3 linked regions of the Mus musculus genome follow. The main gene of each other region encodes a partner of the protein of the gene in region 3 in a complex. Links are inferred from orthologs where the notes say so. Each region holds a gene or a part of one and is shown on either strand. Other genes may lie near its edges.

The links. Proteins that work in one complex are often made in the same cells at the same time.
Region 1: the proteins of Arpc1b (region 3) and Arpc5l are in contact, whole or in part, in a cryo-EM structure (PDB 6YW6), measured with the Homo sapiens proteins. The link is inferred for Mus musculus from reciprocal best matches to the Homo sapiens genes ARPC1B and ARPC5L. Residues at the interface, in NP_005711.1 of Homo sapiens: Arg118, Lys138, Arg142, Phe164, Ser201, Gly203, Trp204, His222, Asp223, Ser224, Thr225, Leu240, Ala241, Ser242, Glu243, Thr244, Leu245, Pro246, Phe281; in NP_112240.1 of Homo sapiens: Asn21, Lys22, Arg102, Gly139, Leu140, Gly141, Ile144, Arg145, Thr148, Arg150, Lys151.
Region 2: Arpc1b (region 3) and Arpc5 share a complex: the UniProt entries of both Homo sapiens proteins name them as parts of the arp2/3 complex. The link is inferred for Mus musculus from reciprocal best matches to the Homo sapiens genes ARPC1B and ARPC5.

Annotation. Positions count from the first base shown.
Region 1 is NC_000068.7:39,006,829-39,011,556, forward strand, and holds the start of Arpc5l (actin-related protein 2/3 complex subunit 5-like protein), read left to right. Parts: upstream 1-1,310; 5' UTR 1,311-1,367; coding exon 1,368-1,516; intron 1,517-1,522; exon of another isoform or gene 1,523-1,742; intron 1,743-4,728. UniProt on the Homo sapiens protein: May function as component of the Arp2/3 complex which is involved in regulation of actin polymerization and together with an activating nucleation-promoting factor (NPF) mediates the formation of branched actin networks.
Region 2 is NC_000067.6:152,765,065-152,769,959, forward strand, and holds the start of Arpc5 (actin-related protein 2/3 complex subunit 5), read left to right. Parts: upstream 1-1,477; 5' UTR 1,478-1,660; coding exon 1,661-1,803; intron 1,804-3,796; coding exon 3,797-3,869; intron 3,870-4,895. UniProt on the Homo sapiens protein: Component of the Arp2/3 complex, a multiprotein complex that mediates actin polymerization upon stimulation by nucleation-promoting factor (NPF).
Region 3 is NC_000071.6:145,112,649-145,117,458, reverse strand, and holds the start of Arpc1b (actin-related protein 2/3 complex subunit 1B), read right to left. Parts: upstream 3,204-4,810; 5' UTR 3,118-3,203; intron 1-3,117. UniProt on the Homo sapiens protein: Component of the Arp2/3 complex, a multiprotein complex that mediates actin polymerization upon stimulation by nucleation-promoting factor (NPF).

The sequences.
Region 1 (4,728 bases), on a different chromosome or scaffold from region 3:
CATGTGTTTGTGTGCCTGTTTCCAGAGCCAGTCTTGAAGGTCTCTGAGGGTTTAATGCTTTTCAGGCCCAGGATGGGGATACTGGTTGGATAGAATGAATAAGCCTTTTGTAAATGGGATAAGGAGAAATGAACCGAGTGTGGATTAGTTTTAAATGGAAGTCTAAAGATGACCAGGATTCTACTAGAGTTACAAATATACATCATATTTCTGGACATTTTTTGTAGTGCTAGGATTAAACCCAGGATTCACAATATTTTTGAATTCCCAATTACATTCCCCATCTTTGAAGACAAAAAACTTACAGGCACTGTACTTTGCCATCCCTGATGTAATTAAGACAGCCCTTACATTTTTAAATTTTACATGTACCATGTATGTGCTGTGCCGGCAGAGGTGACTGGATCTCCCTGGAGGTGGAGTCGCAGAGCACTGTGAGCTGCTATGTGGATGCTGGGAACTGAACCCAGGTCTCCAAGAATAGCACTTTTTTTCTTTTTTAAATTTCCCGACAGGGTTTCACTCTGTAGTCTTGGCTGATCTAGAACTATGTAGTCAAAACTATCTAGAACTCACAAGAACCCCCTGCCACTGCTTCCTAAGGGCTGGAATAAGGCATGTGCCACATTACTCGCTATGTGTAGCAGGAGCAAAACCATGTCTCACCTAATTTTTTTTGCTCGAGTTCTACTAGGTTAAAATGTAATAGTTTTCTTTTTTTTTAATATTTTTTATTAAATAGTTTTCATATAGTTACAAGAAAAGATTCATTTTAGCCTACGTCTGAAATAGAAAGAATCCTGGGGATTCTGCAGCTTTCGCCTCCTAAAATATGCCTCTTCAGTCAGGAGTACAGGTGGCCACAGAATCCTCTTTAATTTTCGGAACGCCCGCAGGAGTCGTTACATCCTCAAGAAAGGATGTTATCAAGCGTCCTGCCAGCCCCTGGGTTACACATCAACGCCTTTAAAGCCGTTTACTTTTAACAAAGTGGGTCCTCTTGTGGGTCAGTGCTTAAGAGACTCCGGCACTGCGCGTCACTCCCTGCCATCCCTTAGCTCTAAGATTTCTTCCTCCGGAGCGGACAGAAGCGCTGGCTATACCAGCAGCCCGGCTTCGGAGAGGACAGAGTTACGGCTGCAACGCCTGACACCACTTCATCAGCATTCCACGATCCCACGGCGCAGTTCCGCCCACAAGAGCTTCCGGTTCCGGCGCATCCCGGAAGTGGGCGGGCGACGGCGGCTGCGCGCGGAGGAGGGGAGGCGGTGCCTGGCGGCCGCTTCCCGCCCCCAAGCGGAGCCGGTGCGGAGGGGAGCCGGGAAAGAGCGAAGCCTAGGCGGCTGAGTGGCCGCCGCGCTCCCGCCATGGCCCGGAACACACTGTCCTCACGCTTCCGCCGCGTGGATATCGACGAATTTGACGAGAACAAATTCGTAGACGAGCACGAAGAGGCAGCGGCGGCGGCGGGCGAGCCAGGCCCCGACCCCTGCGAGGTAGACGGGCTCCTGCGGCAATATCCTTCCCGGCGCGGCGGCCCGGCTCGGCCTTCGCACCCTGATCACCCCAGCCCCAGTCTCCCGGTCCTCCGCCCAACCCCAGCCCCTCCCGGCTCCTGTCAGTCCCAGGTTCTCCCGGTCTGTGGTTGGCCTTACGCCTTTCTCAGCAGCGCAGCCCTGGAGCTCCTCTCCCTCTGCTCTGCTGCGCTCCGCATCCTTCTGGGTGTCCGTGCATCGGCCTTGGTATCCCTTTATCCCTCCTTATAGTAAGCGGGGTCATTCCCAGGTGCTGCCCTCAGGAGGGACCGAGGTGAACCACCTTGGATTCATTGAGCAGCCAGGGCCACTGCCCTACTGCGCTTGTCTAACTGGCTTTCTTGGGCCCGATTGTAGCCCGGCGTGAAAATAGGTGGGTGGATGGTTGGAGGAAGACTGACTAGAGGGCGGAGGTGGGGGAGGTGTGCTTTAAGGTCCAGCCCTCAGGTGTGATATGGCCTGCTACCTTTTCTCACCTGTCGCCACTTTCCTCAGCACGTTGGGTTTTGCGCCTTTATGGACCAAGTACATTCAACAAGTAATGCGACTCTGCCATTAACCGCCTTGTGCAGAAAGCGTGGAAAAAGCTAGTGATTCAGAGCTCAAAAACACCATACAGTGTCAAATGTAAAAGTGGCTCCCCACGACTGAAAATGACTGCTGGTGGCCACAGAAAACAAGCATTTAGAACAGAAGAGTAAAAATAGAGGTGATTGTCACAGCTGGCTTGGTCTCTTAGCAGTTTGAGCACCACAGGAAACTGATTTATTCTCACAGGAAGATTTTTTTTTTCTTTATTCAAATAGCTTGACAGGAAGTGTGTACCCCTCCCCCGCACTTGCCAGGGTAGGGTTGGAGGCTCTTGCTGTATATAAATCAGGTTCTGGCTGTTTAATCAGTTGACTCAGCCTGGGAAGTCAGGTGTACCGCTTTTGGGAGGAGTCCTATAGTGCTCCTCTAATATATCTTGAAAACAACCCTTTTAGACTGAACAAGAATATGTTTTTGAAATGTGGAGATTTCAAACTTATTTCCTGCACCATTCTGATGGTTAAATTGGGTCATGAGAAGGCCCCTAGAGGGAAGATTGGTTTTTAGAATGGTGCAGGGTACTGACTGGTTTATGTGCAGGTACTGTTGACAAGGCTCCAGAACGATGCATTTGGGCCAGAATCCTAATTATATTGATGAAGAGACTGGGATCTGTCAGCTTCTGCTTTGGTGTTGTTGCTGGGCCTTGCTGAAGTCCCTGGCTGTTTTTTCTTCTCTCTCTCTCTTTCTTTCTTTCTTAGGCAGCTTAGAGGCATTGGCTTAGCTTATAGAAGAGATTGCTTCTACACTCATGGCAGTGTCAGAAGCCTTGTTACTATGGAGAGTGTACCTCTCGGGATTGGGAGAAGGGAGGCTAGCAGAGGAGAGTGAAACCCTAGCAGATGTCAGGCCCAGGTAGGGAGAAGGATGGAAGTAGTAATTGAGTCCCTATCAGGTGCTAATCATTGCATTCAGTCTATAGACCCTCATGTGAGTCTTAGGAGAGAATAGTGAAGAGGTTTAGGGGGACATTAGGTGGTGGTGGTCTCAGGCCTGTGCTGGGAATTGTTTGTGGAAGAGCAGAGTGTGGAAATAGAAAGCTGCTGTGCATCCACACAGGCACTGTCTAACCTGCTTTAACCTTCTGCTGGTCATACACTCTCTCAACCTCAGCATTCTTTTTTTTTTTTTTTTTTTTTTTTAAAAGATTTATTTATTTATTATATAGTACACTGTAGCTGTCATCAGACACACTAGAAGAGGGCATCAGATCTCATTATAGATGGTCGTGAACCACCATGTGGTTGCTGGGATTTGAACTCTGGACCTTCGGAAGAGCAGTCGGGTGCTCTAACCCACTGAGCCATCTCACCAGCCCGAACCTCAGCATTCTTAAATGATAGAGACAACTATGTTGGTCTTACCACCTCAACAGGTGTACCACTAAACACACAGCAGGTGTACTCCAAAACTTGGGCCCGGGTTGTAGGAGGGGCAGGGGATTGTAGAGAGGGCTTGGATTTGAAAGGCAGCTCTGAATTGTAGCTTTGTGACCTTGGGCAAGTAATTTCCCTTCTGTCTCAGTTTCATTATCTCTATGGCAGAAGTCAGGCTCTTGTCCTAGAGGGTTTGTAGAATAAGGTGAGATGTGACTGTATCTGGTCCTGGATCCAAAACCCCCAGGGAGGATTTTTTTTTCCCTCCACTCCAGCGGTTTTAAAGTACCATTGTAGTTCATTTTCTTTCTCAGTGAAACAGCTTCTGGTCCTTCAAGTAGGACTGTAGGTAGAGCAGTGGTTTTGAGTGATTTGGTAGTTTTTTTCACCCCTCCTCAAGGAAATTTGGCAGTGTTTGGTGACATTTTGATAGTTTTAGGATGTTACTGGAAACTTTAGGGTAAAGGCCAGGGAGGTTGCTAAATATCCTGCAGCATACATCAAAGAATCATCTGGTTTAAAATGGCCATGGCTGAGAATGGTCTGGTGGGTTCTTCAGCCTGTTGTCTGAAGCTATTGGACACTATCTGGGTATGGAGGCTAGTTAGTAAACATGATTGCAGAGGTGCCTCTCTGCTTCCTCTTGTACCCAGCATTTGTGAGCCTTTGGTTGTCAGTGGCTGCTTGACAGGCTGCAGTGCTAAGCCTAACGTTCTCATCCTTGTGGACTAGTTACATCATTTCTGCCTTTCCCTCTCATCTCTTTTGTGAATGAAATGATTGTTAGTTCATGTGTACTGTTAAGCTTTTATGGGACCCTGCTTATTGCCTGGGGATACTGAATTAGAAAAGTTATGGGGTGGAGGGTTATCAGTGGCTGTATCAGGACTAGTTCTTGTTTGTCTGAGGAAAAAGAAAAAGAAAACTAAAGATAAAGGGTGGGGCACCTGTCCACTCTGTAAGGTAGGTCCATTCCAACATGGTAAGGAAGTGACTTGCCTGGTGGTACAGAATAGCTTTTCAAGATGGTACTCACTAGGGAAGTTGGGACTTCAGGTTTGCACCAGAGGCTAGCTGTTCACACATGGGCATTGCTGCATGGTCAAAAGTAAAGACCTGATTGGGCAGAGTCATTCCTTGTTCTATTTTTGAAGCTTTTTGGCTTAAGCCAGTGTTTCACATGAGGAAATGAAAGTTGGCTGATGTAATTCAGTTTAAAATAGGTG
Region 2 (4,895 bases), on a different chromosome or scaffold from region 3:
TATTTTATATGAAAAAAGATACATAAGAAAAAATTAGATTCAGCCCTTCAGAATCTTGGGATCTCTTTCCCCAGCAAGAATAAAACCTATCATTAGGTAGTTTATGAAGCTCGTGCTACATAACCCATAACACATTGCACACATATGCAGAATTTTAGAGTCTTTTCGAAGCATTTCCACGTATTGAGCCCTGGGAACATCCTTGTGAAAAGCACATTAGCCCCATCTTAGTACTAAGAAATCCAAGGTTCCAATTTTTAAGCAACATGCCTCAATCATGCAGATTATGAGAGCAGAAAAGTCGAGACTCAGCCTGCTTTTTGATCCCAAGCCCAGTGCTCTTTTCCAGTACGGCAGAGCAAACGAGAAAACTCAACAGGATGACATCCAGCCTTCTGCTATACGTGAAACCAGGTGGTTCTGCATCGAAGCAGGGCAAAGCCAAATGTCTGAATTAATTTTATTCTGTAAATACTTGTACTACGGTATATTACACAGAGCACAGCTATTATTTGATTAATCTTTGTGCCTCTGCCTCCTCAACAGAAGCTCTGATCTCACAAACCGGAATATGGAATATAGCAAAAAGCTGATTTGACGTGCTTCCAGGAACCTTAAACAATAAATAACAACCTTGAAAGTCCAGTCTCTATTAATCCTTGCACTCGCTATTTTCCCTCAGCACTGAAGAGCCTAACTCGCCCACCCTCTTCTGGCATTCTTGCTCCAAATAACTACTTATTTTAAGATGTGATGACTGATTCTAGAAAATGCTACAAGTTTGCCCCAATTTCACTACCTGGCCCAAGCGTCTTTTCCCTCCCTCCAGATGGAGAGAATACCTAGTTCAGATTCTGCAGGTCCGGTCGCGATGCTGTCACACAGCACTGACAGGTAAGAAGTGACCTTTTCGATTCCGTCCTTGGGGACCTCCCACCGACAGCGTGCCAAGAGTCCAAGCCGGGGAAGGGGCTCTCAGCTCGGGAAGGCAGCCCCCGGCGGCGCACGGTCCGAATGGAGGGCTCCGATCACTAGTTCCGAGCTGGGCATCACTTTGCCTCATACTCCTGCAGACTGCAGGGGACTAGGTTCTGCAGCCAGTCCATCGCACCCCACGCGCGAGTCCGGTCACCCACACTTCACACCGGACCCCAACAACCAGCGGCTGGCACCGACAGCGGCGGCGGCAGCAGCACTCCAGGCCACGCTCCCGAGGTGCCCATAGCCTCCAGCCCAAGACCCCCCGCAAGGCAGGACCGCAGAAAAGCGTTTCTATGGGAACGTCCCGGGCATCACGTGATGCTCCCCGGCGACCAATCGCGTCTCCGCGCCGCCTCTGCCAGCTTTCTGTCGACCCGCCGCCCCCGCCTCCTTCTCCAGCCCCGCCCCTTTCCTGCAGCGGGCCCGCGCGTGCGCGGTGCGTCCCGCGCGCTCCCCTGCCGACGCGCGCTCCCGGGGGACGCGGGGGCGGAGCGGGGGCTGAAGGATGGCTGCAAGCAGAGGAGGAGGCCGAGCCCGCTAGCGCGCAGGCCCAGAAGCTTGCAAGCCGCGGCTGCCGGCGACGCCCCAGAGCGGAAGAGGGAAGTGAGTCGGACCGGGCTGGGCTCGCTAAAGGAGAGGCACCGCGGAGGGGCAGGCCAGCGTCGCGTCGCGATCCGGGATGTCGAAGAACACGGTGTCGTCGGCCCGCTTCCGGAAGGTGGACGTGGACGAATATGACGAGAACAAGTTCGTGGACGAGGAGGACGGCGGCGATGGCCAGGCCGGGCCCGACGAGGGCGAGGTGGACTCGTGCCTACGGCAATATCCTTACGCTCGCGGCGGCCGGGGGTTGTGGGGACGCGGGGCCACGCGACCGGCTGTGCCCGGCTCTAGGTGGGGACGGAGGACAGGAGCTCCCGGGGCCAGCAGGCCGCCTGTACCCCGCGGCCGCGCCGGCGAACTTACCGGCGGCGCCCCGATTCCTCAGGTGCGCGGTCCTAAGCGGCCGCGCCCTCCCCGGGGCACCGCTGGTGTCCTAGTGGGCACCTGAGCCAGTCTCTGCCCGGTGGGGACACGGGCGTCCCGCTTGGAGTCTTGCTTTCCTGTCCGGTGTGTGTGGTTGGCGGAGCGGGGATAGTTTATCCCTAGCCAGGAGAGATGGAGCGGTTCGCAAATCGAGGCCCTCGGTACATTCAGCCCCGGGGCTATTTCATCGGCAGCATTGTTTATTAAGAGAGAAGGGCTTTGGCAAGGTGGCATTATAATTCATGAACGAGCCGAAGGGAGTTTTCTTCTCCAAAATTCCCAGTTAAAGCTTGGAACCTTTCACCTGCTAAGAAAAGGCCACTAAAAAAGGGATAGCGAATGCATGCAGAGAATCCCTGGGAATAATATAAGATGAACCCCAGTGAATAAAGCAGAGAATGAGTCGGTTCTATAAATCAACATTGTTTTTCTGAAATTGTTTCCCTTCTAGTTAAAACATGGCTGTCAGTTCCTGGTTCCTTGGTTTGCATATCTGAATATTCATAACCTCGAAATTCATTTGCATCGATCCCTTAGAAAAATAGAATGTTACAAAAATCCAAACTGGAGCTTTAGAAAAATCGTATTCATTAAGTCTGTTCATACAGCTCTCCCCTCATCAATTTTCTACTAGATTATAATGAAGAAAGTGAGCAAAAACAGTGGTAACCACAGCATCAAACGTACATATATGTGCAGTATAGGTTTAACTTTCATTACCATAACTTTCACAGTTGTTACTAATTTGATTATTTGTTAAAATACTTGGGTTTTTTTTTTCTTTAAAAGACCATGCAGGCTTGACAGTAGTTTATTACCTACTGTAGATAATTTTTTATTAGACCCTTTGCACAGAAATGGTGAGCTTATTCTTTGTTTGTTTGGGTTTTTTTTTTTTTTTTTTTTTTTTTTTTTTTTTAGTCTTTATGGTGGATATATGATATTTTATTAAACTAATGTATTTTAGGTAATTTCTGGTGATTCCTACTGCTGTGTTCATTATCAATTCAGTCTACCTTTTTGTCAATCCATTTTAAAATATAAAGATATTGTCTCTGGTTCTAACTAGGAGAGACTTCAGATTGGTCGGGTACTACAGATGGAGGAACCAGTGACTCTGTTTCTCCTTTTAGGGAAATGACTGTCTGTTCTGACAGTCTGATTGGCCTTCCGTTTCCCCTGCTTGCTAACTCACCAGTGCTTTCAGAGACTGAGTAGGTATGGATGGTCCAGCCCAGTTTGAATAACCTGTAGGAAATAAAGTAAGCTGCCACCTACAGGTCGTGCGGGTTACTACATCATCCAGAGCCCTGTTCATATTAAGCTATTCTTCCATTCTGATTGCCAGAATAATCAGCCAGCATTTCAGTTAATACACAGTGTAGTTTCAGTATAAAGTCTAGGGTTGTTTTCCAGCAAGAGTCACACAGACAAGTGGTATACTTTGTTGGTAAACTGCATCATTTGGTGACCTAATAATTCTTAACACATAGTCTTAAGATTTCTTGAATACCCATCTAGACAATTGCGTGTATCTCACTGGAAAGTGTAATCTATTTGACTGATAGAACTGAGGTCAAAACAGTCTTTGCTTTTTTTTTTTAAATCTATTGTTTAATTCCAGTATTTTTACCATTGGTTGACATGTGGGAAACACACCCATGCAGTTTCTAATATCGAACATAATGACCATAGTAACTTTTGTTACTGTGCAGAAAGTCAAGTCAAAAACCAATATTCCTGTAAAGCAGGGGCCATCCTTTTCTGTTCCACCCTTAACCTTCGTTACAGGAAACATGACAGCTGCTCTCCAGGCTGCTCTGAAAAACCCCCCTATTAACACAAAGAGCCAGGCAGTGAAGGTGAGTTTCAGACTACAGCATTAATCTCTTCTGTTTCACTATTAGCAAAGTCCTTTGATGCCCCACAGTCAACATTGTACCTATTTCCTGTCCTTGACACAAGAGTTTACAGTGTGACTTTTGAGACTGAACCGCAGTCTATAACCTGGTCTGAAACTCAGGAGATCTCCTGCCTCCACTGGGATTAAAGGTATATGCCACCACGTCCAGCTTTAAAGGGAGCTTGTGACAAGTAAAAATGTCATGAAAAAAATAGCCCTGAAATGTAGAGTTAGGAGAGTGCCGTGTGGAGTGCAGTAAATTTAAAGGATAGAGCCATCACTTCTGCGTGTGCTTCAGGAGGAATCCACTCAGGTTGGATTTAAATGGGCTTGAAAAATAAATTTGCCAAACACACACAGCTGCTTCTTGATTTCCTAATTTTGTAAATATTAAATATTATAGAAAACAAAGCATGCGTGACCTTAAAAAGGTGATCTCTGTCCTACTTCCTTGGGTCTTATAGTTTTTCCTAATTTTGTAAATATTATAGAAAACAAAGCATGCAAGCTTAAAAAGGTGATCTCCATGCTATTCCTTGGGTCTCAGTCACTGCCTTATATGGTATCGCTGCACACCTAAGGAGTTTCTACAAGGGTTTGTGCTCTTTTAAAAAATAAATAGAATCTTACACTCCAGCTGTGTAGTCATGTACATGATCTTCTTTCCTTAGCAATAGATTATTTCTGTGGCATTTAACTGCTATACACTAGTATGTAACATCTTATATGCAACTGATCCCTGTTATTGCATGTTAGATTTTCTAGTTTTTCCTGCTAAAATTGATCATTTTAAATCTTAATTATTTATGTCAATAAAATTCCCAGAAGAGAAATGCTAGCACAAAAATGACATTTTTTAAAGACTTTTGATACACAAAGCATTGCCAAATCTCTCAGAAGAGCTTTGTAGCTTACATCCCTACATCAGCCCTCCACTGATTCTTAGGGAACTGCTTAGTTGTTTATTGTTTAAAATGCAGGCTAA
Region 3 (4,810 bases):
CAGCCCCTCACTGGGGGATTCTAGGCAGAGGCTCTACCACTGAGCCACACCCCCAGCCCTTGGGGATACTTCCTGACCATTGCTAAATGACTTCCACACTCCTGCTATCTGTATCAAGGAATGTTGTGTCGAGGAAAATGCCTGGTTGCATCACAGTGATGTATCAACAACTGGGAGAGGCCCTCTGTGTTCCTAATGGAACAAGTGGTCAGAAAAGCCAGACGCTTCTACCTCAGGACACCCTCGGCTGGGGAGGACCTACGCAGCTCCCTTCCTAAGCCTGCCAGCCAGAGCCTCAGGCCCCTTTGCTGCCAAGGACATTCTTCCAGTGCCTGGGTCCCAGAGTTCCTTCCAAGAGTGCTGGGTTAAAACTCTCCAGCAGGGTGCGCTGCTGAACATCGGAGACAGAGCGGGCTAAGGCTGTGGGATCAGGAGTTTGAAGCCAGCTTGGGCTTCATAGGGAGAACCTGTGATTGATAGAAATGGATGGACGGATGGATGGATGGATGGACGGACGGACGGACAGACAGACAGACAGACAGATTAGATAGGTAGGTAGGCAGGCAGATAGACAGGTAAGGGGCTGGTGAGATGGCTCACCGGGTAAAAGCGCTTGCAGCCAAGCCTGATGACCTGAGTTTGATCCCCAGGACCCAGGAGCGAAGGAACCAATTAAGGCTTCTAACTTGTCCTCTACCCTACCCCCCCCCACACACACACACATAAATAAATATCCTTCGCCCTGGCCCCTTGGCTTTTCTTGGCTGTGTTTCCTTGAATCACACACTCAGTCTGGCTGGATTTGAGACTTAAGCCAAGCCGGGAGTTGCCTGCAGCGAGAACCTTGGCTCCACAGGCAATCCAGGAAGTCCCCGCCTAGCTTGGGAGCTCAGCTAAGTACAGCCAGCAGCAGTTTTTTTTTTTCTTTTTTATGGTGCTAAGCCTTACTCAACTTCCTGTTGTGGGTAGGAGCCTGGGTGGTGTGAGCAACCCTCCAAACCCTCAGTTCCTCTTCTTCCCCCTCCTCTAAACTGTCCTTGAAGACTTACTGAATGAGGGAAAGTCAAATCCAGCAACAGATTAAATAAATTCTAAAATATCGTAAAACACCAGTTTAAAGAACCAAAACAAAAACTTCTCCAAAACACAGAAGACTCGGTGCTAGCAGGGCTGTGGGGAGACCCTCATCTGTTCCATGCCTTTGAAGGGCCGCGTGCTAACTTCTAATTCCAACAGCTTGTATGAGAGCAGACAGAATGTGGGGCTGGAGAGAAGGCTCTTTGCAGAGAACTCCAGTAGCCCTCAACCACCAAATAAATACTCTAGCTCCAGGGGACAGCATTTTCCACCACCCCAGGGCTCAAGTGTGTGGGCGCGCGCGCACCCAACCCATAAAAATACATCTTTAAAAAGAGAACAACACTGATGACCTTAGTAACTTGAAAAAGCAAACTTTTAAAGCCCTCTTTCTTAGGGTTGCCTTACTACAGAAAACCCTTTTTATATCAGTGGGTGACAGATTGGAAAAACCCACATACCACTGAGGAGGCTGGATCACTGGTAGAGCACTTGCCTAGTAAGTTCCAAGGCCCTGGGACCAAGACAGAACAAAATACTTTAATTCTAGTTGGGGTTATTTGTTATTTGAAAGATCCCGAAGTGTGCTCACCTTTAATCTCAGCACTGAGGAGACAGAGCTCTATGAGTTCAAGGCTAGCCTGGGGGGAGGGAAGGAGGAGGGAGGGAGGGGGAAAGAGAGAGAGAGAGAGAGAGAGAGAGAGAGAGAGAGAGAACCCGAGTCCAGGGGAAAGGAGGAGACCCTGCCTAAAAGAACAAAACAACCCAGAGTGAAAAAGAATCACCAGCGTACACCTTTAATCCCAGCACTCGGGAGGCAGAGGCAGGAGGATTTCTGAGTTCGAGGCCAGCCTGGTCTACAGAGTGAGTTCCAGGACAGCCAGAGCTATACAGAGAAACCCTGTCTCGAAAAACCAAAATAAATAAATAAATTTTCATTCACACAGACCTTTGCCTTGCACGCTTCATTGTGTGTCTTTGAGTGCCCATGGGTGTCGGGGTATTCGAACTCAGACCCTCAGGATTCCCCCTCCCCAACTCCACCCCTGTCAGTGCTTTTATTCAATGCTCCATCTCCCAGCCCCGCACATTCTCTTACAGTAGAAGCCCACGTGGTAAATCTATTCCTTTTTTATTGTCCACGTGAAGAAGTTGTTCCCTCCAAGTCGCCCCGCAGGGCTGCAGCTTCGGACCCCACCCCACCCTCCCACCTCATAAGGCCAGGTTCAAAGGAGTGCAGAAATAAGGTCTGCAGCAGCAGACAAGCAGGCACTCTGCCAAGTGTACTAGCCACATTTGGCAGCTAAGCCTCCAAATCTGGAAGGTCCCCATTTTCCAGGCAAGGCAAGTTGAGCTCTAGAGAGGCGAGGTGGCTCGACTGCGTCAGCAGCCACACCGCCCCAGGCTGGAGCTGCCTCGCGGGAACAAGCTTCATGGCCAGCACCTGGGCTGGCTCCCAGTTCAGGATTCCAGCCTATTTGCGGGCCCCACCGGGACCTGCCCTGTCCGGGGTGGCCTGGCTGGGTGCCCCTCGAGCCGCCAGGGTCCGCTCGCCCAAGCTGGGTGGAACCAGGAACCTGGACCCCTGCCGGGTATGGTCACTGGGGGATGAGGCGGGGCAGGGGTGCTAGCTCATTTCCCGGTCGCAACAACCCGGAAGGCTGCGGACCGAGGGGGAAGTGACTGAGCGTGGGGCCCTGCGCCCAAAGTAACGGGGCGACACGGGTCTCGGGGATCGAAAGCGGGGCCAGGAAAGCGGAGAGGGGGCGCGAGGCTGGGGCTGTGCCGTCTCGATGGCGTCGAGTGCGCGGGGAATCTCTGCGATTCTTCCCACCGCGCCCCGCATCCCCAGAACGCCGCCCCCCACTAGCTCCTTGCCAGCCCCACCCTCGCCGGGAGCCCCACCAGGCCCCCATGCACACGGCTCTCCACTCCTCTCTCATCCCCATCCCCCTCACCGTCGAACATCGCCTCGAGTCCCCTGACTTCTAGGTGGCCTCAGACACCACACACACCTCGCGACCACCCCGCGCCCCTCACCTCGGGTCTCCTCGGCCGCGGACTCTGGACAGTCGACGCGCCGAACCGGCTCTGAGACCCGCGCAGCGCCGCAGCCACTTCCTCGTGGGCGGGGGGCGGGGCCTTCGGGCACAGCCCCGCAGGGACCGGGGGCGGGACCCGGGCGGCTGTGGCCAGATCTCAGGGCCCGCCCACCCCTCGGGGTACTAAGCCGCCCGGACCTCAGTTAAGTCCAGCTCAGCCCAGAATTCGTTCGGAGATCGCACGCTGTTGCCCCTAACTACTTTCTGAATGGGGAAACTGAGGCTGGAAGAAGGGGGGGGGCGCTTAGAGGGCGGAAGCCCGAGATCGGGCAACCAAGAATTCAAAGGTTTTGAGGCCACACGCAGGCACCCCGCAACTTAATGACTCCTGCCCCGCCCCTCGCACTCTAGGTGCACCCCAGCCGTGGTTCCCCAGACTCTGTGTCCCAAAGATGGCAGAGTCGCTGGCGTCCAGGAAGAAGAGCACTGCCACTCCAGGTGACTTCTCGCTTCGGAAGTCCACACACTTCCCTCCAAGTTGCTGAGTAGCTTTGCAGTCAGGTGATGATGCTCCAGGGTCAAGGGTCTTCCAGGTTAGGTGCGTCTCAAGTTCCTTTTGCTGTGCCTCCCACCTTCTGAGAGCTCCTCTCTAGACTCCCAGCAATCTCCTGTATCACTAATTCTGGCTTAGAGGTGCCTGTGATAACCCACACCTGTCATCCCAGCACTGGGGAGATGGAGGAAGAGAGATGAGATTCGAGTTCACCCTTGGCTGTAGAGCTGGATGAAGGCCAGCCTGGGTTACATGAAACCCTGCCTCAAAAAAACCAAAGAAATGGGCCAGTAAGATGGCTCAGATGGCAAAGGTGCTTGCTGCCCAGCCTAAGGACCTGAATTGAACTCCCAGCACTGACTTCCACACACATGCCAGCCATAGTGAACTAGAGTGTGTAAACATACACACACACACACACACACACACACACACACACGCAGGGTAAGTAAATAAATTAATACTTTTTTTTTTTTTTTGAGCCAGGGTTTCTCTGTGTAGCCCTGATTGCCCTGGAATTAGCTCTGTAGGCCAGACTGCCCTTGAACTCAGAGATCCGCCTCTGTCTGTGTCTCCAAGTTCTGAGTTCTGGTATTAAAGCAGTGCATCATCATGCCTGGTGTAATAAAATACTCTAAGTTTGGAGCAGTTGCTGCAGTGAACACCCTGCCCATGTTCAGTGATTATGTATATGTGTGTGTGTGTATACACACACACACACACACATATACATATATAATGGTGTTGGGATTCAAACTCAGGGCCCTGCACACACAGCAGACGCTCAGTCACGGAGCTACATCCCCAGCCTTCACTTAAGTCTCCTTAAGTTTCTGGGGCTGGACTTGAAGTTACGTAGGCCTTGAGCTTGTGATTCTCCTGCCTCAGTTCCCCGTGCCACCAGACCCACCCAGCTCAGTAAGATTTAGCTCAGGTTTCCACGAGTCATCCTCCTGCCACAGACACAGAGGAGCCATGATCCTGCGCCCCCTGCTTTGCTGTTCCTGTAGGTTTGTATCTGTAGCCCTGTGGGTCAAGGGCATCCCTGGCTGGCAATCTGTCCGTGCTCGCTCAGCTCCATAAAAGCCCAGCAATGGCCCCAGGAGGCCTTGAGTGATCTGACTCCATACGCCTGTGG